Linked DNA regions of Oryzias latipes. The protein of the gene in region 4 purifies or fractionates together with the protein of the main gene of each other region. This does not show direct contact. Links are inferred from orthologs where the notes say so. Each region holds a gene or a part of one and is shown on either strand. Other genes may lie near its edges. The genes, in order: larp4, helz, riok3 and rack1.

What was found.
Region 1: the proteins of rack1 (region 4) and larp4 purify together in Homo sapiens (affinity purification with mass spectrometry; 3 studies listed by BioGRID and IntAct, counting the BioPlex papers as one, with this or other methods). This does not show direct contact. The link is inferred for Oryzias latipes from reciprocal best matches to the Homo sapiens genes RACK1 and LARP4.
Region 2: the proteins of rack1 (region 4) and helz purify together in Homo sapiens (affinity purification with mass spectrometry; 3 studies listed by BioGRID and IntAct, counting the BioPlex papers as one, with this or other methods). This does not show direct contact. The link is inferred for Oryzias latipes from reciprocal best matches to the Homo sapiens genes RACK1 and HELZ.
Region 3: the proteins of rack1 (region 4) and riok3 purify together in Homo sapiens (affinity purification with mass spectrometry; 3 studies listed by BioGRID and IntAct, counting the BioPlex papers as one, with this or other methods). This does not show direct contact. The link is inferred for Oryzias latipes from reciprocal best matches to the Homo sapiens genes RACK1 and RIOK3.

What each region holds. Positions count from the first base shown.
Region 1 is NC_019865.2:11,282,029-11,287,661, reverse strand, and holds the start of larp4 (la-related protein 4), read right to left. Parts: upstream 3,421-5,633; 5' UTR 2,997-3,420; coding exon 2,880-2,996; intron 298-2,879; coding exon 180-297; intron 16-179; coding exon 1-15. Other genes in the region: ATP-dependent 6-phosphofructokinase, muscle type, read right to left, coding at 4,877-5,018, 5,110-5,215. UniProt on the Homo sapiens protein: RNA binding protein that binds to the poly-A tract of mRNA molecules. Associates with the 40S ribosomal subunit and with polysomes. Plays a role in the regulation of mRNA translation.
Region 2 is NC_019859.2:31,301,088-31,306,726, forward strand, and holds the start of helz (probable helicase with zinc finger domain), read right to left. Parts: upstream 3,526-5,639; 5' UTR 3,398-3,525; intron 1-3,397. Other genes in the region: psmd12 (26S proteasome non-ATPase regulatory subunit 12), read right to left, coding at 4,832-5,041, 5,165-5,242, 5,339-5,513. UniProt on the Homo sapiens protein: May act as a helicase that plays a role in RNA metabolism in multiple tissues and organs within the developing embryo.
Region 3 is NC_019878.2:4,105,040-4,110,536, forward strand, and holds the start of riok3 (serine/threonine-protein kinase RIO3), read right to left. Parts: upstream 3,295-5,497; 5' UTR 2,999-3,294; coding exon 2,963-2,998; intron 1,926-2,962; coding exon 1,810-1,925; intron 1,724-1,809; coding exon 1,581-1,723; intron 1,484-1,580; coding exon 1,376-1,483; intron 1,290-1,375; coding exon 1,180-1,289; intron 198-1,179; coding exon 54-197; intron 1-53.
Region 4 is NC_019868.2:17,071,785-17,077,282, reverse strand, and holds rack1 (receptor of activated protein C kinase 1), read right to left. Parts: upstream 3,867-5,498; 5' UTR 3,750-3,866; coding exon 3,641-3,749; intron 3,274-3,640; coding exon 3,102-3,273; intron 2,377-3,101; coding exon 2,229-2,376; intron 1,961-2,228; coding exon 1,865-1,960; intron 1,656-1,864; coding exon 1,545-1,655; intron 1,298-1,544; coding exon 1,157-1,297; intron 953-1,156; coding exon 842-952; intron 627-841; coding exon 561-626; 3' UTR 516-560; downstream 1-515. UniProt on the Homo sapiens protein: Scaffolding protein involved in the recruitment, assembly and/or regulation of a variety of signaling molecules. Interacts with a wide variety of proteins and plays a role in many cellular processes.

The DNA.
Region 1 (5,633 bases), on a different chromosome or scaffold from region 4:
AAGGCTCAGAATAACCTTTAAACAAAGTTACATACAGTTTTAAAAAAAAACACAGGAGGTTAAAAAAAGACAACAGAGGTCTTACAGTAACAAATATTTCAAAGCTCATACAATACCATAAAAAACCCTACAAACTGACTTAAAACTGTGTCTTGCAGTTGACGGAAAAGATTTCTCACCCTCATTAATATCAGAAGTGGGCCAATCTGGGCCACTGTTAACAGCCTCACTGGGGGGCACAGGCATCTCCTGCCAAACTTTGGCATTTGGGTTCAAACCGGCACCCTTCGAGGTGACCTTCAACAAAAGAAAAAAAAAAAACACAGCATCAGACAAGAAACAACTCCTATCTGTGCTGATAGCACAGAGACGCTCACATTCCAGGATGAAAAAGCAGTTTGATAAAAACACAAACAGTCTGAAAAGGTGCAGCAATCATTTGGGAGAAGGTTTCAAGTTTCATTTGGGTCTAAGGTGGATCAGTTCTAAGACAAAAAAAACATTTCTTCCTCATTCAACAAATTTCAAGAACCAGGAACTGAGAATTTTAACAATGATGCTATGCAGAAAGTGAATGATATTAATAATTTGAAATAACACTTTTAGGATGAAAATATGAGATGCAACAACTTTTCTGCATGCTTGGCTTTTGCTTTATCATGTCTGTTGACAGAAAAGCACTGGCTTTATAATACCAGATAAAAGAAAGAGAAAAAAACAGACATATGAAGCCAGATGGCAGCATTTTAACTTTTTAAAATAAAGCAAAAACCACATATGTTTATTTTAAAACCTAAACTTTAAATCCCTTTTAGAATTAAGAATTGTAAAAGGTACAATCCATCCAACGTACCATATTGTGCTAACTAGTCACAAATCTGCAATGAATTCTAACCTAAAATAGGTCACAGATGATATTGCAGCACACACATATGATCTGAACCGAATATATTTTTAGTGGCTTTACATATAGAATGTATGGGTGTATAAATAATGTATGGTAAAGTTGTGCAAGGTACCATAGTTTTTGGAGTACAAGTCACATTTTGTTGTAGTTGTATACTTTGGCCAGGTTTGTGACTTATACACAAACAACTTTTATATTCTGGTGCAACTTGGAAAAAAAAAAGAAAACAACAACAGCTAGAGGGCACTGTAGGTGCGTGCATCCGTATTTACTGCTGACAGCAATATAGAACAAGAAGCACTGCTTAGTCTTATGCCGGGCTTGGCGGTGTTGTTCCGAAGTGACAAAGAGGAGGAATGTAAAAGAGTTTATGGTTGCCTTAATAATTGTTTATATGTTGCACCAACATACTGGTTTCCTCCCATGTTTCATGAAGCTAAATAAGCAATAATGTACCAAGATAGTACAGCTTGCATAAATGCAGTCTATTATTGTTATCTACTCTGTTATGATTTGACTTTCGAGATGGAATGTAACCTTCATCTTCTTCCCATATTGTTTAATAAAGTGCAACATATATGATTTATTTTCTTTATTATTACTTTACGTTTCTAGGCTGCTGTTATTTATACTCTGGAGATTTTCTTTCTGCTTTTTCTTTTATTTTTAGGGAACTCAGAAAAAAAGGCTTATGAATAAAATAGGACTTTAAAAAGCAGCAAAGTGAAAAAATAGACATTTGGAGGACAAAAAGTATTTTAAGTTGCAAAGAAATACTTAAAATGCAAAAAGAAATCATGCAAGACTATTATTTTTGACCATTGCAGCCTACAACACAAACAACCAGTTAAAGTGGGTCGACTTACAAACTATTAACTATTCAAACCATTCAACTATTCATCTTAGATGAATAGTTTGTACACCATTTTAAACCATGTAAATATAAATACTCAGCATTTTATTATTTTCCACAATTGCCGACTATTATTTTTTCGCCCTTTTAAAATGGAAGAATCAAATTATTATTATTACTTTGGGTTATAGCCATTTTTGACCTAATGAGTAATGGTTGACTGTTTCCCAGTAACCTTGAAACGCCAGTAACTGTCACATTTAGCAGCTTCCTATTTTGACAATGTCACTGCCACCTGCCAATGACCCAGCGCCCTCACGCTGAAACCGTCCAAAACTAAACAGCTTCTATCAGCCTCAAGTTACTTCCAAGGACCCGCCAGCAGGAAGTGATGCATCCAGCTGATGGGCTTCAGAGTCATTCATATAAGCATGAACATGTGTATTCGCCGTGTAATTTGACACATGACAGCAAAGCACGCATGAGTCCAGCAGGCCGTGATGAACCAAGTAGTGTCAGCTGACTGCTTTGCAAGGCACAGGGCAGGCCAGATATTTGCAACGCATGCGCCTGCGAAGTTGGCTGTCGTCGAGATTAGCTAACATAACCTTACAGTAGTTCCACATCATTCATTCGACTGGTAAAAAGAAGGCCCCAGTAAATGAAAGCGGTTGAAAACGTGTCATGACCCTCACTATACGGAGGCACATAAATTATTCTACAGCTGTAACGAAGCTTATCTATTCAAGCTAATGATTACTCAGCAAACTAATGAACGTGCTGGCTAGCAGGGGCAGAGCCAATGCTAACGACCAGTGGGCAAACATACCTGCTTAAACAGGCTGCTAGCGTTAAGTGCCACCGTGGTTAGCCTTTTTGGACTGTTGTCATAACACAAACAACATGTGATTAAGCTTAGTCACTGTGCGATAACGCAAAACCTCAGAAAACCATGGTCAAGCTGAAAGCTATAAATCAACAGTTTTTTTTCGTTTGAGTTTTGTTGCTGCCTAATAAATTTCACTCATCCGCAGAGGGGGTTGAACTGCGCAAACAGGTATTCGCTGAGCATAAGTCACTTAGCTAGCTAACTAGCTAGCAACATAAGGCCTCACTTACCATGCCGCCTGTCCCTCCCTCGCTCCCCAACGGAGCCTCGTCCTTCGCACCGGTCTTCGGTCCGGGATCAGCCTCCTCCTGCAGCAGCGGCGGCTCTCCGCTCTGGTCTGAACTCATCAGCCGCTCCTCACTCACTTCCACCCCGTCGTGTTCTCCCAACCCCGCCTGCCACCACCTCTTTCAAACACCGGCTGTGTTCAGCAGTCAGTTGGCTTGTCTACTACTCGGTGGGATCGGTCGGCAGCACACTTACCTAGCTTCCTCGCTAGCTAGCCGCCTAGCGACCTAGCGCGCTATGAACTAACGACGCGCTAACGACAGTTAGCTCAATGAATCAAGTGCTCAACGAGATACTAATGCTCTAAGCGATGCCAAACCATGTCTCTACTCAGATAACAGACACCGCTTGCGTTTCACCGAGCATTATACTGCACACCGGCTGCGTGAGGCGCATTCCTAACCGGGCGACCAGAGCGGACACTGGGGACAAGCACCTTTCCTCAGCGCAGGCACACACGTCCGCCGACGTCCCGAGTGTCACCGCGAATTCTCTGTGACCTTTGAGGTTCCATTTCCGGTTCCACTTCCTGTAGTTTTTACCTAATTGATGTCTTTTTTAATTCACGATTTTATCTCTCTGCCAAAAAATCAGCAAAGAAGGCTTCAATAATTTAAGATAATATTTTCATTTCATTTTAAAACGAAATGTTACTTATGTCTTTTTTTTAAATAATCACCATAAGTGTTTTCTGAAGGCCATTCCACATCACATTAATAAAGTAGTTTTATTTAAAAAAAAAAGAAACACAAAAGTCATGTTTTTTTTGCTTTGTTGTAATTTTCCTTTTTGTTTCAAATGAGATGAAGCAATAATGAAAGGAGGCTAGTGATGTAATCAGTTCCACTTTTATGAAACACCTCAGATGTAATCAGGAACAAATGATATAGAGATAGAGGAAAAAAACATTCGCAATTTGAAGGATTCCTGAGCTACTGACAATAAATAGTTTTAAATATTTATTCTCTGCAACAAATATGATTGGAGATAAATAAGAAGTTCACCTGCCATTTTTGATGCAATAATTTTGGAAGTTTTTGACTTACAAGTGTTGGTTATTATTAAAAATGTCTGTCTTGTTCTCCTTCTGACCGACACTGAGGTGAAGGTTTAATGCTGTGAGGGGAGACGGGATTATATCTTTGATGGCTTAGAATTTATCTCCTCATCCTAACTTCTGTTTACAAAATCCACAGAAGAATCCTCTCCCTGTTAACGGGTGAAAAGGGGAGTCTTACACAAAGTGTCAGTTGTGTCTGAAATTCTCCAGGGAAACAGATTTTTTGAAACATGTCCTAAGAGAGAAAATAAAGGCCAGTTTGCAACTTTACAACCAAACTTCACATTACAAAAACCAGAAAAAAAAACTTTACATTTTAGATTGATCTCAATTTACACGGTTTTAAGGGCACAACAATGGTCTTAAAAGTTCCTTCTTAATACAAAGGGTTTATGATTGTTAAAAAATATACAATATTTAAATTCTTGTGTGTAACAAGGATCCTAAAATTTGATCAGTACTGCAAAAATCTGCAGGCTGTTTTTTTTTATATGAAAGAGAACAAGATATCAGGTAAACATGATGGATAACACTTAACAATTTCTGCAGACCCTAGTTCTTATTTGGCCTTTTTTTTAAAATAATTTCTTACCCAAAATGAATTGGAACATTTTCTGAGATCACGGTTGACTTGTTTGAAATTGTTTTCATTTTTTGTGTGCAAAAAATATAAAAAATAACCACACATAATAACCAAATTTATTGACAGCAAACAGTATTTTCCTAATTAATATTTCATTACTTTTTTCCTGCCAGTTGGTCCTGTTTTTGATAATTATTTTGCTAATTCTACTGGATGGAAAAGAGTGACAGCACAAGAAAAGAGTGTTTTAGATACTTTTATCATTTATATGGAGAGGTTTTGCTCAGCTATGGGCTCTATTTCTTCAAAGAACCCGTCTTGTTGACCACGTGCTCCAAGTTAGCATGTTCAGATGTGTCCAGTTTGATGTCATATTTGGCTAGGATCTTCATGATGGGTCTGATTTTTAGCCACCACTGTGTCTTTGGGATCCGGTGCCTGCAGAGAAAAACAAAAGAGCGCACGAAAAATCATAATTGACCTGAAATTCTCCCTGGAGAATTCTATTATTTGAAGCTGTTCATCTTACTCAAAATCTGTGTCTGCTTTTAGGTCAGCAAGAGGCTGGAAGTTGAGAGCCCTCTTCCTCATGCCCAAAACACAGGCGGAGTCTGGTGTGTTGGCAAAGATACGACCTAGCAGAACAAATGTGTGAGCAGTGATGTCACATTGCTGCACACACATCAACATAGCTATGTAAAAATAGAAAAAAAGCAACAGTGGAACAGTGCCAGCCATTATGTCTATCAGATGAAATGATAACCACGTCTGTGAGAAAAGTTATTTTATACAGCACTTTTCCCCAGTCACAAAGGGATGAACAACACAAACCCCATAATAGAGAAAAAAAGAAAATTTAATAAAGATAAAGGCAAAACTATAAATACATATAAACATAAAGAGCACTCTGGAGTTTGGGAGCCTTCAGCTTGAAATCCTCAATTCCTTCTAACTTTAAAATGTGTGTGAAGGACAACCAAAAAAAAAAAACATCTTCAGAAAGTTTGTGGGGTCTAAGAATCTCAGTAAGAGGGACCTGCACATGTTAACTTC
Region 2 (5,639 bases), on a different chromosome or scaffold from region 4:
ATAAGGTTCTGCAATAAAAATTAAATAAAATCATGAAAAAAATCCATTCATCCATTCTCTAAACCTGCTTAATCCCTTTAGGCCCTCTTGGAGTCACTGTGTTGCTGGAGCCTATCCCAGCTACAGTTGGGGGGGGGGGGGGGGGGGGGGGGGTCCACACATTTACATACATAGATAAGGACATATAAAACATTAAGAGTTAGAAATGTTGACCCCCCCCCCCCCCCCCCCCCCTATTGTTAATGCATTAGGCAAGTTTTCGGCAAATTATTTTGCGGTTACGAACACAATTGCCACCATGCGATGGGAAGGCATTGGCAGAATCTTTAAGATTTCTTGCCGCCGCCTGATTTTTTAAAAATTTGTTGGCATAGTCATGAATGTAGACAGCGGCTGTCAGGCGTTAGTCAGGCAGGCAGGGATGACATCTTTACGTAATTGGGCGACAGCTGGGCAACCACAGGGCGGTGCCAGCCGGCAACAGCTCTGATTGACGTGTAAATGTCTCCGGACGGCGGCCATCCATATCGAGTGCCAGCAGCTGCCAGCCACCCGGTAGCCCGCAGTTATCTAAAAACAATCGGGTCATTCTGTACCCTTGGTCATTCGTAACTCAGATTTTGAGCACACATAATCCTCAATTTACAGATTTTTGTACAACAAGCCTCCCAAGAAACCCAGCAAGCGCAATCCCCCAGGGCCCAAGAAAACGAGGATCCAACCGCAGCAGGAGTCTTCATCAATGCATCATCAATGCCGTTTCCCTAGAATTTGCAGGACCCACGGTGGGTGAGATCGCCAGATTGACATGTGGTCATCGCCAGGCCCCTGGCCCATCTGTACTGCCCGGGCTGCAACCGTACACTGTCTATCAATCGGATGGTGGCAGTGGAATGGCAGCACGGTAGCAGGGGAGTGGCAGTCTGTAATCGGCCAATCCTCAGACGATTTGGGGGAACCTGAAGACCCTCCCATCAGTCAAATGATCGCAATGCTGCCTTTCCGCCGCCCGTCTGTCACTGAACTACCATCGTGCGACCTTCAATGTGCCCTGGCGGCCACTGACCAGTGTCACAAAAAAAGTTGTCCGGTCGTCGTCAAATATTTCTGTTTTTCCTTAAAACCTCCCCTGGCGGCCGTGTAATAATGTGACAGCCGCCTCACAATTACAACTGCGGCCACCTGCAGAATTTGCTAAAAAACTTGCATTTAGGCCGCCACACCGTGGCATTTTGGGATAGGTGACGGTGGTCTTACACAGCAAGAATGCATTTTACTGAACATATCAGGTGATCTCATTGAAAAAGAAAAGAAAAGTGAGAACTAATAAACATGACAAGCCAGTTTCATTTACAAGTATGGCAAAAAAAAAATTGCTGGTTCAACAATATCTTTCTTCAGTGACATTTTGCTCAAATTCAAGAAATTCTTAACATTTTAATGTGGATTTTATGCCTATTTAGCACCTAATAATCAATGTGGTTGAAATCAAATTGAAATAAACACATGCATCGAAATGTGTGTTGTAAATATAACAGGTTTTTTTTTAATTCCTTTAAAGTAGGTCTGTCTTTCCAATAGCAGTAGTAATAGTTGATTTTAGACAATCTTCTATGTGGTCAGACACTTAGCAGGAACATAAACATTTTCCTTAATTAGGATACTGAAAAAGTTAAAAAAGTTAAAAAAAAAAAGCACCTCTAAAAATCCTGCCACATGACTTAATTTATAAGGGAATCTGGCAAAAATGTAGCTGCCTATGAAAAATTAGGATATTCAGATTAGACCCATCACACCTCCCAACTTTAAATATTTTTGGCCTGTAAACTCAAAACTGCTCAGCCACTATCACATGGTAATTACACGCATGAGCCGTGTCCTAAATTCCATACATTTTTCAAAGTCGAACTACTCAAAAGAAAAACAATTATCAGACACTGTTGACATTAGTTTCTTCTTGCTCAAATTTGCTGAGTTACACGACAAAAACTAAATAAATGTGATAAACAAAAAGCTTTCAGAAAGCTTGCCCCCATTTTAAATTTTTTAAAGTAATTTGTAATTATTTTGAATTATTTTATAGGGAAACTGGAAAATCTCTAGACTCTGCAAAATAGCATACAGTCCAACAAACCTGGACTATAAGCACATGAGTATAAAGTTGAACTAAACAAAAAATAATAGTTTTTTTTCCAACAAAAGTCCAGGTCCATCATTTTTATACTCGCAGCAGGTCACAGTATACTGACAAATGCATTTACAAATTTTGCCCTTAAAAATGGACATATGAGCGATCGAAATAAAAAAAATTAGGACAACAAAAGAAAATCCCTAAAACTGAAGAGGTTTACATTCAGCAACAGTCATTCCATCAAAATGCAGCAGCAACATGAGGGGCCTACAAAATAAAAGCCCAATGTTATCCCCAGAATGTCCATTTTTGCACATCACCCAATCCTAATTATAACGTTACTATTAACAAAAAGAGTAAAACATAAAATAAAAATATTGTTAATCAACTATAGCAAATATAGTAAAAGTATGATTACGCCTGTATGTGATGTTATGTGTTAAAACTTCAAAATCTAGAATCTGACGTAATAGCAATAATAAAGTTATCTGGCGGGATGCACTGGACGACTAACTTTTTTTTTTCTTTTTGTATGGTTGAATAGAACATAAGCGATTAGAAGTCACTAAAGTGTTTGGATGGGATGGCTTGATAACAGGAATACAGTTGTGCTTTCATCCTGACTGTAACGTTATTTTTGTTGGCAGCATCCGAAGCAGCAAATTAACGAAGAAAAGAAGAAGAAAGAAAAAAACAATCGAAACGTGCGCACATTTTTTTCAGCAACAACGAGCAGACATTCAAACTAACATGCACTTCTAATATCCCTCTGCTGTAATGGCGTGTTTTCCTCTGTTTTTTTGTTTGGCTGGAAAACTTGCCCATGACTCCTGCTGCAAATCAAGCCGATGACGGCAGCGTAAAGCTGTTAAAAATGATTTCACACGCACAGTCGGAGCTCACTTAATCTACTCGCTTGGGCTAAACAATCGATGTTGCTACCAGAGAGACTAAGAGTAAAAAGCTTTCCAAGAAACACGACCTTTCTTGGCTCAAAAATATCTGGCAAAGATCACAAGAATAGCTGGCTAGTTTGCTCTTGTTAGCGAGCTAGCTAGCTAGGTTCGCCGAAACAAAACGGTTTGGGGCCTGACATTATGGCTCGCTGTTTATGTGCATATTATTTTTACGACACATTGTTGGAGTGAATGCATGGACTTGAATAATTCTCTGTCGTCTTGGTGATGCCTGAAGGGGATTCTTGTCGGTGCCTCTGCGACGTTAAGAGACATTTAAAAGGACTAAAAATGGGAAGTCAACACTTACCTAGCTTTACTTTCTACGCCATCTTGGATCCACTTGTCAGTCCATCGCAAAGCATAGTGGGATGTACTGAGCTGAAGGTTGAGAGGACTGCGCGAGAGCGCGCGCGTGCATGCGTGCGTAACTTTGCACTGTGTTCTCTATAGAGTAAAGAAATATGAAAAACAGATAAAGCAGCATGTAAAATAAACGCCTTTTAATCTATTGGAATCAGTTCTGGCTGAAGCCTTCAAAAGCGTCAATTATATAAGAGCGTTTGCTGCAATGTTTATACTTCCCTAAGGAAGTTCGTGCTAACAGCAAAAAAAACCTCCTTATTTGTCACATGAGCATTTCTGCTATAGCCTCTGAGTGTACACCACATGGCACTAAAACAGTTTGTCTGCAGCTTTTACTCATGATGCAATATGCAAAACATGCAGACAGCATTGGTGAGAGGATTTTAGGGAGGAGACACGTTTCCACATTGCATCTTTTTTTTTAATCAGAAACATTTTTGACTTTGGGATGCAAGTGCGGCACAAGTTTAGCTTTTGTTAAGGAAAATAAAATCCACAAGGGCGTACGCTCATTTATGAATTCCTTGCCCTTTGATTCTGCATACAGAGAAACCAATTCAGATATCAGCATACATTGACCTACTTTGACCTTTTTATCAGCCTCAAACTGTGAAATGATTTTTTCATAAAAATGCTGCTCAATTTGTGAAACTGAAGAGGAACGGCTGGATTGTATGAACTGACTTTTTAATAAAGAAAACTAAGTTTTAACTTTAGCCCTTGTGCCATCTTGTGGGGTCCAGATGACCCCACTTGCAACGTTGGGACCCCACAAAATAGCACAAGGTTTAAAGAAGCACATTATTCCTCGCAAAAATAGTTTCATTTCCAATTGAGAACAATGTTTTTAGGGGTTCTGTGCTCATAGAAATGGCTGCAGAACATGTGTAAAGTAACTGTTGCTCCAGGTTGGACCCTGAATGCTTTTCCTGTAGGCTGTGATCACCACCACAGACAGTCTATACATGTCACTGTGTTTAGATTACACTGAGATATGTGAAGACAATTCAAGTTTATTGTCATTAACATTGAAGCTAAAACAAGTTCACCAAACAAGTTTATTGTTTGCCTTGCTAAGTACAGTACACAATGAAAACAACAGGCTGAACCACGTTTTCATAAAGCAATTGAAAAAAAAAAACGAGGATGTAATTTTCCATCAAATGGTTGCAAAGGTCATTGGGTTAAATGAAAACCAGAAAGATTTGTTTGCGTTACTACACAGTAAAAACAAAACACTATTGAAAGGATGTGTCTTATTTTTCCTCAATTCTGAGACTCCAGTTGAGCTGCAGTCAAACATTGCTCAGTTTGCTGCGTGTTCAAAAGTACGGGTGCCCAGCAGAATCAAAAATAGAAAACAAAGAACGTTGTTGTATCACTGCAAGTTGTGGATCATCTCTTCCTTGGCAATAAGGTGTGTGGTTTTGTTAACCAAAGACATGAGAGAGTTGAGTTTGTGTGACCAATCGTTGAGCAGATCATTGGGGTCTTTGGGTCTCTGAAAGTTGATGATGCCAGCGAGTCGATCCACCTTGGCATAGATGGTTTTGTTTACCACCAGGCTGGAAAGGAACTCCTCTGATTCCTGTTCAAGTATTTAAGAACAAACAGATTTGGTTAAAATCCTTTTTTTCATTTTTTTATTCAAGTTAAACCCTGAATAAAATCCGTTTCTGTGGTTTTAGCGCAGACTTTAAAACTTGCTTACATCGATGGAAAGGTCGAGAAGATTAGCCATCCTCTTCATTGTGATTCTTGTGTAATATTTAGCCATTATTCGGATGTTCTGGGGACAGACCACAAACCGTTACAGGCATGCACATATGAGGGCAGTTTTTCATTGCTCTTCCACAGTTTCTTTCTATTTGCCTTTAGGACTTACATGCTCCACAACTCTGTTCTTCAGGTCTTTCCACCTCTTCTCCCCATCCTCTGAATAAGAAAACACATCCGTGGCTGGGCTGTCCGGTGAGCCATCTCTCAGCTCCTTCCCATAGTCCTCCACCAAGGAGGCCCAGCGCATCAACTCCATGGTAGTGAACTGCTTAAGAAGATCCCTAGGAAGAAAAGAAAGATGGTTTATTTGTCTAATCCAACTCAGAGGGCAAATGCCTCACATTCCAGGTTAGGAAAAGCAGATTTTCTGAAGAAAAGAAAAACTACGGTGCAGGTAGAATACAGGA
Region 3 (5,497 bases), on a different chromosome or scaffold from region 4:
GGTGAGTGGGCGGGGCCGGCTGGGAGCGCAGGCGGCCTGCAGCAGACACGTACGGCGGTGGAGTGCTCCTTCTTCTCGTGCAGCCGGGCGCTGCGGCGCTGCTCACTGTAGCAGTGCTGCTTCAGGGAGTTGAACACCTGGTTGGACAGCTTCAGGTCCATCCCCAGCCCGTCTCCCACCAGGACCTCTGGGGCGAACTGCAGAGCAGAACCAACAGAACCGCTTCCTCAGAAGACAGACCAAACACCGATTGTAACGTCAGAGGAACAATTTTTCTTTTCTGGAACGCCAAGACTAGACTGTCTTCGCTGGTCTCATTTTTCTACGTCTTTGAGCGAAAATTTTGCCCACACCATGTCATCAAAAACGCACCCACATCTGAACGCACCTGGTGCCCCTAGACACCTGGTATCCCTAAACACCTGTACCCCTAAGCACTGGTACCCCTAAGCACTGGTACCCCTAAGCACTGGTACCCCTAGACACCCGGTACCCCTAGGCGCTTGGTACCCCTAGACACCTGGTACCCCAAAACACCTGGTAACCTGTAGCACTGGTACCACTAGACACCTGGTACCCCTAGACACCGGTACCCCTAGGCACTGGTACCCCTTAGCACTGGTACCCCTAGACACCTGGTAATCCTTAAGCAAAGTGAACAACGCCCTGATGACATCACAGCGCGGAAAACAGTCAACTCAATAAATGAGGCCAAAGTCTCTTTTGGGGCTACAGAAATGGTTCAAAATGCACCACTGAAACTAAAGCACACGCGTGTAGTGGATATCCAAATGAAGCTGTGAAATTATTATGGGATGACAACAGAACTTCCATTTTGTGGCAAAAACTGAAAGCTCTCCAGGGAATTTCCATCTATTGCCTCTAACTCTTCGAGCATCTCTGTAGCAGCCGTTCAGGTCAAAAGGGGGTAATGGTGGCGGGTAACAGCTGCAATGTCACTTGCAGCACTAATCCTATTCTGTCCAATCAGTGTTGTTGCTGTGGGACCAGGGTTGACTATAAACTCTAAAGGCGTTTTAGTGTCTCCTGAGGTTGAGTATGTTGGCATTTGTTTGCAGATGCGTTCAGGGTCGCTGCAGTCGTTAGGCTAAAGCAGATCTGTGCCTCATCTACGTCTGCGGTTTCTGATGGAGAGCAGAGAAAGCGCCGAGGTCATACGTTGTCCATGCGCGCCGTGTTTTTGCGCCCGCAGGTCTCCTCGTCGTGTTTGGTGGTGATGTTCTTCCCCTTCCCTGTGAAGCCCTTCCTGGGCGTGGCCTGTGGCTTCTCTAAACATACAAAAACAAAAGAGGAAAGTTTGTGAACCCAGAAATGATCCTCCAGGACGCCGGACGAGGCATGGGGGGGGGTTTACCAGCTTTGTAGGGATCGTGTCTGGTGTCCTGCCAGTCCACCTCGTCCTCCGAGCTGTCGCTGTCCTCATAAGGATGGACCATGCGGTAATTTTCAAAGGAGATGGACACTACACAGAAGAAAGGTCAAACATCAGCGCTCCGGATCTCCAGGAGGGGGCAGTGGAGAGCACAGGTGTGATGAAGCAGAGGCCGTCTACCGCCGACCTTTGCTGTCTCCGTTGAACTTCCTCTCCTCGCGGCGCAGCTGATCGTCAAACTCGCGGTCGAACTGCAGCTGCAGCATCTGGGCCAGCATCAGGTCACTGTCGGTGTCGGGGGCGTCCTCCGACGGCAGATCAGCTGCAGGGCTGCGAGCCGAACCCGAAGGCAGCAGAACTTTGGGTCAAACATCCAGAACCAACAGGAGATATGATAAACGAGGAAGACGGCTCACTCTGAGAGCGAAGGCAGGACGTTGTTCTCTTCGTCCAGCTGCCGGGCCAGCTGCTCGCTCATCACCTCAGTCAGACAACAGGCCGGAGGGGCCGGCGCCACAGAACCCCACGGGCCCTAAACACAACACCAGACAATTCAGAGGTTCTCATGGCTTCTTCTGAGTGGGTTTCTGTTCCTGCTGGGGAACAAACTAAACATTTGAGGGCTTTTCTATCGGCAACAGTCGTTTCAGATCAGAAAACACAAGGAACCTTTATTTGGGGACATTTCGGGTCAAACGGTGCTGATGAAACAGCAGCAGAGGGGGAACACGTTCAGGCATGATGGCTCAATCAGCCGGCTCCATCCGGTGACCTCATGGTGAGTCACGACACTATCTTTACACACAGAGAGAGACCTTTGACTTTAACCACGACGCGTCACGTTCAGAGGCCGGCTGGGAAAAACAAGCAATGATTAAACACAAATGATCCACCTTCTGTCTAATATCAATATTAGCTGATAGTTTCCCGGCATTTCTCTTCAGCCTTGGCCTTAAAATAAGAATTTACAACAAAAAGAGTTTCACGAACACAAGATTTGATCTATTTGTCCGTCTAAAATAACAGTTTAAGATTGTTTAAAAGACTTAAAGACATGTCATGTTGATGTTTAAGTCTCCTCCGATCATCTTTCGTCTCCCCAGTGATCTTTGAATTATGAGGATGCCGTTTTGAGCTAAAATCAAAAAGCTTATGTCATTTTTAAGACATATTTTCTTAACATATATCTCACTTCTATGTTCAATCAACCCAGGAAAAGTTCAAACTTGCTCTTTTCACTCACTTTTTAAAAATCTCATTGGATTTTAATCATTTACACTTGTATTTCCAGCTACTTTAGCCTTTTTTGTTGCCGTTTTAAACCAGATTTATATATATTTTTTCTTTTTTTTCTTTCGGGTTTTGTCTTTTATCGGGGACGTGAACGCGCGTCCGCGCGCAGCGCAGCCTTTAGCTTTAGCCGGCATTAGCCCCGGCCGGGCTGTCCGGGTCACGCGCTCAGCTGTTGCTCACTAAAAAGGAACCGAACAGCCATGTTGGCTCACGCCAGCAGAATTCCCGGCCGCCTCGCGCCCCACAAACGAGCCGAACCGGGCGCGCGCCTCTTACCTTTGGTGTTCCTGTCGCGAGCGCTGCTTGATCCATGATGAGTAGACAGAATGTTACACTTTATCTGGAGAGAATGAATGGCGGCTAGCTGAACAAGAAGAGCTAACGTAAGCAAGTTCACACGTGAAATAAAAATAATTCAGAACAATTTGTTCCAGAGAAACCGCAACAAGGTCACGTGACACAAAGATAAAGTCTCGGCTTAAAATCGATTCTTAATAAAGAGTAAATGAGGAAATGTGACACACTGGCACTGAAATAAGGTGAAGTTAAAAAAGAACCTGACTATTTGGAGAAGAGCTTCACAGGGAAGTGACCTTTGAACGACAGGAAATACGTCATGAATTCCAGTGACGTTGCTTTCATAATAAAATAAAAAATGGACGGACCCGCTTTTACCTTTTATTTATGTATTTACTTTTTAACTAATACTATTTAATCGTTTTAAAAAATTACGTCAGGTGGACAAGTTGATTTCACAAAAACAGAATTCTTTGAATGTTTTAACTAAAGTAATGTTTTACAGGAAGTACTTTAAGCTCCAATGTAGAGTGTACCAATACTAATCACTGAGCATAAAAGTATGTAAGTATAGAAAGTATATAAGTTTTAATAATGCACTATTCTGGTTCAGTAAATTTTAAACATACTTGTTTGAAACGTTAATAGTTATTACTGATCATATAATCATGGATATATGATGCATAACAGTTCATATTTGTTTCACAACCATAATTCACAGTTTACACTCAGATGACTTTAAACCATCAAATATGAATTTATTCATAAAAATATAATCAGAGGGGAAAATAGCCATTTAAAGCAAAAATAGAAGCAGTTTGACAGAAAGACTAGCTACATAATTCATTCAAGCTCTTATTTTTAATCAGACCTGCAACAATCAGGTCTTTTCAAAGTTAATCCTCAAAATATAAAGTGACAATAAAGAAAAATAGAATCGTTAACAACTTCAAATAAAAATGCAAATGTTAATGTTCTTTCTAAGAATTTCTCCTAATCTATAACCCTTGTGCTATCTTAGATGACCCCACCCTTCCATTGACGTGTTCTCCCTACCATGACAAAGGTGGATAAAGGTAGAAAGATTTCATGTAATCCATGGACACCAGTGAAGATCACAAATCATTGAAGAAAAAAGGTTCAGAGCACTGTCTAGTGGGTCAAGATGACCCAACTCCCAATGATAAATTGACCAGGATAGCACAAGGGTTAAACTCCAGAGAACTTACTATTTGTCTGACACGATTTAGATTTCAGGAAATTCAAAGATACTCTACAACTGAACAATAAAAGTAAAGTAGGACTATGTGACTGCAGTTAGCAGAAAGGGAATAAATAAAAATAAAAAATACTGGTACTGACATTATGGCAAAGTACATTTACAGAGAAATAGAGAAAAAAATGACAACTCAAACTGTGAAGATGGAAAGTCGAAAAGGAAAATAAATGATAATTACATAAAGAAAAAACCTGGTTTCTAAGCCCCAAAAGTTTCTAACCACAACCGTGAAATGACTGATTTCAGTTTTAACCTTGTGAAGGACTTTGTTTGCTTGTGGATCAAAGACTGAGCCTCGCTCAGGAACACCTAAGAACACGAGAGAACTGAAGACAAACCGCTGACCGTCCTACACTGCCGACATGTCGCCACATTGACATCTACACCATGACAGAGGAACGCCTGTTGAAGTGAAGGATGGCGACTGAGGAGAAGTGACCCTGTGCAGGCCGGGGACAAAGAGACAAGAAACAAAACACTGACATTCTCCAGGTGGGACGTCCTGTGCCAGACTCCCCTGACGGCTGTGAAAGCAGGGGGTCCACCCGACTCTGGAATAAGGTTCTCAGGGTTCCACGGGTTCACAGAGACAAGCCCCCCGAAAGTAAATCGGGATGAAGAGGTTCCTGTGAGCAGTGAAACTGGTGTGAGACGTCCACATGCAGATCACACAGGGGGGAAGAGCGTTCTCTGCAGATCTGAGCATGAAATGAGAAGATGCAGGACGGCTGAAAGGAGAGGAATGAAGGCCGTGTGTCTGGGGGACGCGAGCAGGCTGCCGTCCCTCATCTTCCTGTCCTCTGTCTTTTCTTTTCATGGGTCACGCCCGACAGGAATGTTGACTGAAGGAATTGTGTTCACGACTCCTTCAGACTGAGAGCAAAGACACAACAGCTGCCGTAGCCGGACCGGCCAAACAGCTCACCTGAACCAGAAAAACTGTTGACATGACAACCACAGACGGCTGCAGTGTTTGTTTTTATGTCTGCAACTCCCTGCTGCTGGTCTGTCGTCCCAACAGCATAGCTGCAGAATCTCACTTTCAGGATGTTTGGTGGGTTTTATTCTCTGATGTCCTGCCAGTTTCAGCCACAGTTCTAATAATAGAAGTCTAAATTAAAGCCAGGCATGCAAAGATTCACCAAAATAAAGTAAGTGTCACTGCTTTAGCTGTCAGTTTTGGTTTGGGTTCATGCAGGACTTCATGTTTCCATGCATTAAACAGTTTACTTAAT
Region 4 (5,498 bases):
AAAAACTAGTAAACAAGAATTAATGTCAAATCCATTCACATTTTAGTTTCATAAAGTTGAGCCCACTGTTTTTCCACATCAACCTAATCCAAAGAGAACATTCTACCACACTGGATGGTCACATCTTTGCAAAATTAAGTATTTCTGCACATTGGAGTGGAATGATCAGTTTTTGCTGCAACCCATGCTTCAATCCAAAAGGCAGTTTCCAGTATTGATTAATTTCATTTCTAAACGATTTTATAATGGTCTGGGGTGTTTTGATTAACTTGCCACATGCATCAATCTGGATGGATCATAGGAATATAAATCAATTCAAATGTTTCACTCCTACAATTAACTTTATTCATGATTCAATGTAGACCTCAACATTTCAAACTTAAATTTGTTAACTAGCTTTTTAAATGATCTTGCATCAATATTATAAGTAAAACTTTGATTATGAGCAGTCTTCTAAAATGACAAACTCAATCTGCGTGAAAGTAAAATATTTAAAGTTAAGACCAACACACAACTTTTCAAACAGTCTTTTTATTTAAAGTCGATGCAGCGATGGATTCTTATCGGGTTCCAATGGTGACCTGCCACACTCTGATCAGGTTATCGGTGTAACCAGCAAACAGGGTCTGCAAGCAAATGAAGGATGGAAGTTACTGATCACAAAAACCATTAAATACATTGATTATAGCCTTGATTTTTGTCCTTTCCCCTCATATTTGCAGGACTGTCAGCAGTCAAAATCAGAGCTAATAGTGAATGGGTATAATCACTGGGGGTTAGAAGGACAGACTAGCTTTAGCAACAGCCCCATCTTGTACTTATGTCAAGAGGAGCTGAATACCTGTCCATCAGCAGACCATGCCAGAGAGGTGCACTGTGGGGGCTCGGCTTTGCTGTTTGTGCTGATCACTTCCTGTCTCAGCTCATCCACAATGATTTTCCCTTCCAGATCCTGCACACAGAATAAACATTTACCGTATGACTAAAACAACTCAAAATAACAGGCAATGTACAGAAATGACTGAAGCTAATTAGTCTGGAGCTCAGAAACAGCCTCTGTTATCATCAAGCAATACAGTTAGCATTTTCAAGTTTCATCAAGGCCCATCAAACCACATTCAGCAGTAGTTCCACATCATCACGTAGGAGCTCTCACCCAGATCTTGATGCTAGGGCCAGTGGCGGCACAAAGCCAGTAGCGGTTGGGGCTGAAGCAAAGGGCATTGATGACATCGCCGCTGTCCAGGGTGTACAGGTGCTTGCCCTCGTTCAGATCCCAAAGCATAGCCTGGCCGTCCTGATTGAGAGAACATTAACAAGAAAATAAGCCATGACCACACAGCAGCTCTGTTCTGGATCTTCATTTAGCGTGGCTTTACGACTCAGTGTCACTCAGAAACAGCCTCTTTTGTCATCAATTGTTTACCAACAGAATGATGTGTTATTTATCCATCACAGTTGACACCTGGAGGTCGGCCTTTGTGTGCCATCACTAAAAATCTTCACAAGTATACGAGTCGAGTTCTCCAACTGAACCAGCTTACCTTTCCACCGGATGCACACAAGGAGCCGTCAGGAGATACGGTCACCGTGTTCAGGTAGCCAGTGTGGCCGATGTGGTTAGTCTTCAGCTTGCAGTTCGCCAGGTTCCACACCTATAGAAACAGCAGCAGACAGTGACCGTCAAGTTTACACTGACATGAAAAGACCAGATAAAACTGTGGAGACGTGCTCTCATCCACAAAGCTTCTCATCAGAAACCAGGTCAGGTAATACATGCAAACTTCTTTAAAATCATGGAGCATATTTTTCTATTGTTTTTAAATCAATCTAATGGCAAATGAAGGGAAGCGGAAGTACAAACCTTGACCATCTTGTCCCAGCCGCAGGAGACAATAATGGGGTTGCTGCTGTTTGGAGAAAAGCGAACACAAGACACCCACTCAGTATGGCCTTCATCCTGCAAAATCAAACACATACGGTTTTACAGGAATCTATTTGATTACAGGTCAATGCTTATGTGATTTTTTAAAATAAATTTACAAAATTTACAAGCACGAGATTATCAGTAAAGCCTTTCTTTTTGAAGGTTAGCGACTTAATTTGCTTAACTTCATGATCTGACCGTCATGTCAACTCTTCACAGGAGTTCAAAGTCAATAAAATCCTGCAGCACGGATAAGGACGTCATAAGATCTACAAAGAGGCAGCATTATCCGGCAGCTCACCTGAATGGTGTACTTGCAAACGCCGAGAGTGTTCCACAGCTTGATGGTCTTGTCCCGAGAGCCAGACACGATCTGGCGGTTATCAGCAGAGAAGGCCACGCTCAAAACATCCTTGGTGTGTCCAACAAATTGGCGGGTGGTGAGCCCTCTGAAAAATGGCACATTTACCTATTAGCAAGAGGCTTTCAATAAAAAAAAAAAAAAACATGAAGAGGACGCCTGTCATCACACCACAGCTAAGAAATACACTCCACAACAGACGGACCAAGAAAGGAACATCAATAAAGGTTTGCCTTTAGAAAGCTGTGAAACTATCAAATGTAAACAAAAAAAGGTAAAGGCTAGAGACAATAGTACATTAAAACAAGTCAGTTCAATCCCATAAAATATAAACAGGATAGATCTCCATCAAAATGACTAAACATACAAGTTGAGAGAATTTGGCATTTAAAGATGATGTGAGGTGGAATGAATTAAAAACAATGAATTTAGGTTGACTGGACGTTTCATGACTTGTGAGGCTCCTAGAAACAACTAAAGCTGTAAACTGGTGCTTAAAAAACTGAAATGACTGGACTGGATGCAGGTAAACCTCATTTTAAAAAGAAACATGCTAAATTGATTTCCAAATCTCTCAATAGCAAAACAACAAAACTAATCTGAAATCTAAGGTATTTATATGCATCATGGAATGTAATCAGTAAATGTACTCGTCTTCTTTTGATAGTCTTTAGTACATATGTGTTAGGCATCTTTTCAAAATACATCCCATTTTCTCCACAAATGAATGGCTGGCTGGCAGCTGCTTCACATAAATGATTAAAATCATGCTGCCACCAACCACTAAAGAGATGCTTCCTGCCCTTCACTTACGTGGTGAGGTCCCACAGGCGGAGGGTTCCATCCCAGGCTCCTGACAGGGCAAACTGTCCATCAGAGGAAATCACAACATCACTTACAAAGTGAGAGTGGCCCTTCAGGGAGCGCTGGGGGATGCCATAGTTGGTCTCATCACGGGTCAGTTTCCACATGATGATAGATTTGTCTGAAAGCAAGAGATACTTTAGATAAACACATTCAAACCACTTTTATATTTATTCAGATACATTTTTTTTTTCAAAATAAAATGTGCATCAATAAGAAAAGTGCTTCAGTTACAACTAAGTTTTTTTGAGGTAGCAGCTGCCACATATTATGCTATGTCACAGGAAGCTAGCTTACCTCTTTGCTAACATGTCTACAAATGTTCATTTTGCATCACTTTATATACGGTAAAAACCTCCGTAGTTGTTTATTAAATCTAGCTGGTTTCATTTACTCACGCAACAAATTCAAAGTTACAGCATTTTGAACGCAAGCAGCTGAGAGCTAACGTTAGCCATGTTGGCGGTGCCGGCGGGGCGAAGCCTCACCTCGGGACGCCGACAGAATCATGTCGGGGTATTGAGGTGTAGTGGCGATCTGTGTGACCCATCCACTATGCCCCTTCAGGGTCCCCCTTACTGTCATCTGCTCAGTCATTTTGGGGAGGTTCGGTGGTGCCTTTTACAAGGATGGATTCGGATTTTAGACAGGTTCAGCCGAACCTAGCTCCTCATCGCATCTAGGCACAGAGGAAAAGGAAATACGACCCCGGATGCAGAAACTATGAAAGGTCGCGCAAAGGATTCTGGGACGGGTGGACTTGACTACACCGCAGTAGTCTGCTTTACGCCATTGATGTATGCACCTCTTAGCTTGTTTTTCAATTAAAAGTTCTCTTAAAGAAAGGGGAAAAAAATCCCAATAGTTATCTTTATTACGTACGGAAGAAGATTAGGACCACGGAGAAAGGGAAATTCTCACTTTATCTCAGAATTCAAACCTTTTCTATCTCAATAATGTCAGATTTCTGACTTTATTCAGAATTCTAAATTATCCAGTCAGAGTTCTAGACTTTTTTTTACGACTTCTGGCTTTTTTCTTCGGATTCTAACCCCCTCCCCCCATTTTAACCTAATTAATTAATCTAATTGGTCTAATTTAAACTTTTTTTACTCTGTGCTGTTTAAAATAATCTCAGATTTCTGACTCTTTTTTTACTTCGATTGTCATTGTGTTGTCAGAGCAAAGTGTTTGGACAGCCACAGCCACATCCACTTATGGCAGCAAAGGAGTGGCAACGTAAAAAGCATTTCAAGATGAACTTTTGTTTCTGATCAAATACCGTACTCTTTTTCTGTGCCCGTTTAACCCTTGTGCTATCCTATGACCCCCACCCTTACATTGACGTGTTATTCCTACCATGAAAAAAGTGGATAAAGGTGGAAAGATTTCATGTAATCCATGGACACCAGTGAAGATCACAAATCATTGAAGAAAAAAGGTTCAGTGAACTGTGGGTCTAGATGACCCAACTCCCAACGTTAAAGTGCCTAGGATAGCACAAGGGTTATACAAACACATTTTTAAAAATCATACAATGTGATCAGCTAGATTTTTTTAACATGTTGTCGTCTTTCAAAGTTGAATAGTATCTATGATGAACATTACTGACCTGTCATTTTAAAAGTGCGACATCTTGAAGAATCAGTGACTGCCAAATGCTTTTTTTGTTACTGTGCTGTACTTCCATTCATTATATTACAGATTGTTTTTTTTATTCGAAAATAATCAATTTTGCATTACTGCGATGTTACTTTATTTTGATCATGCAGAAGCAGAGGAGACAAATATACGACAAAGAATTCTATATTTGAATGAGGTGTAAGGCAGTTTGTATGATGATCCATCTTTTTGGAATTGTTTTTTTAATTCAAGCACACAAAACAAAAGAAAGCAGAAACAAAAGAAGCCAAATAGCTAGGATCTGTTCGTGATGCCAGAATTTTTAGGGAGTCATAATTGTGCCCCAAATTTCACCAGGGTATAATTTACCTTCATTTTTTATACAATGTCATGCATTTAATGTTATGTAAATTATACACTTTAACTGCCATTATAGGACATTTCAGTGGTTACTTGCTGGGGGACAGGGGGTATCCTTGTCTGCCATATCTGATGACCCCCTACCCTGATCCTCAGACTCGACAACAGGCACAGTTCAACCTGACCCACAGCAGAACACGGGTCAGGGTGGAGATGACTATAGGCATCCTGAAGGCAAGATGGCAGTGCCTATGTAGGCTCAGGGTCAGCCCAGAGAGGGCATGTGACATCACAGCTGCACGTGTTGTTCTTCACTACATCCCCAGCATGATAGGTGAGAGGGCCCCGCCACCTCTTGATAAA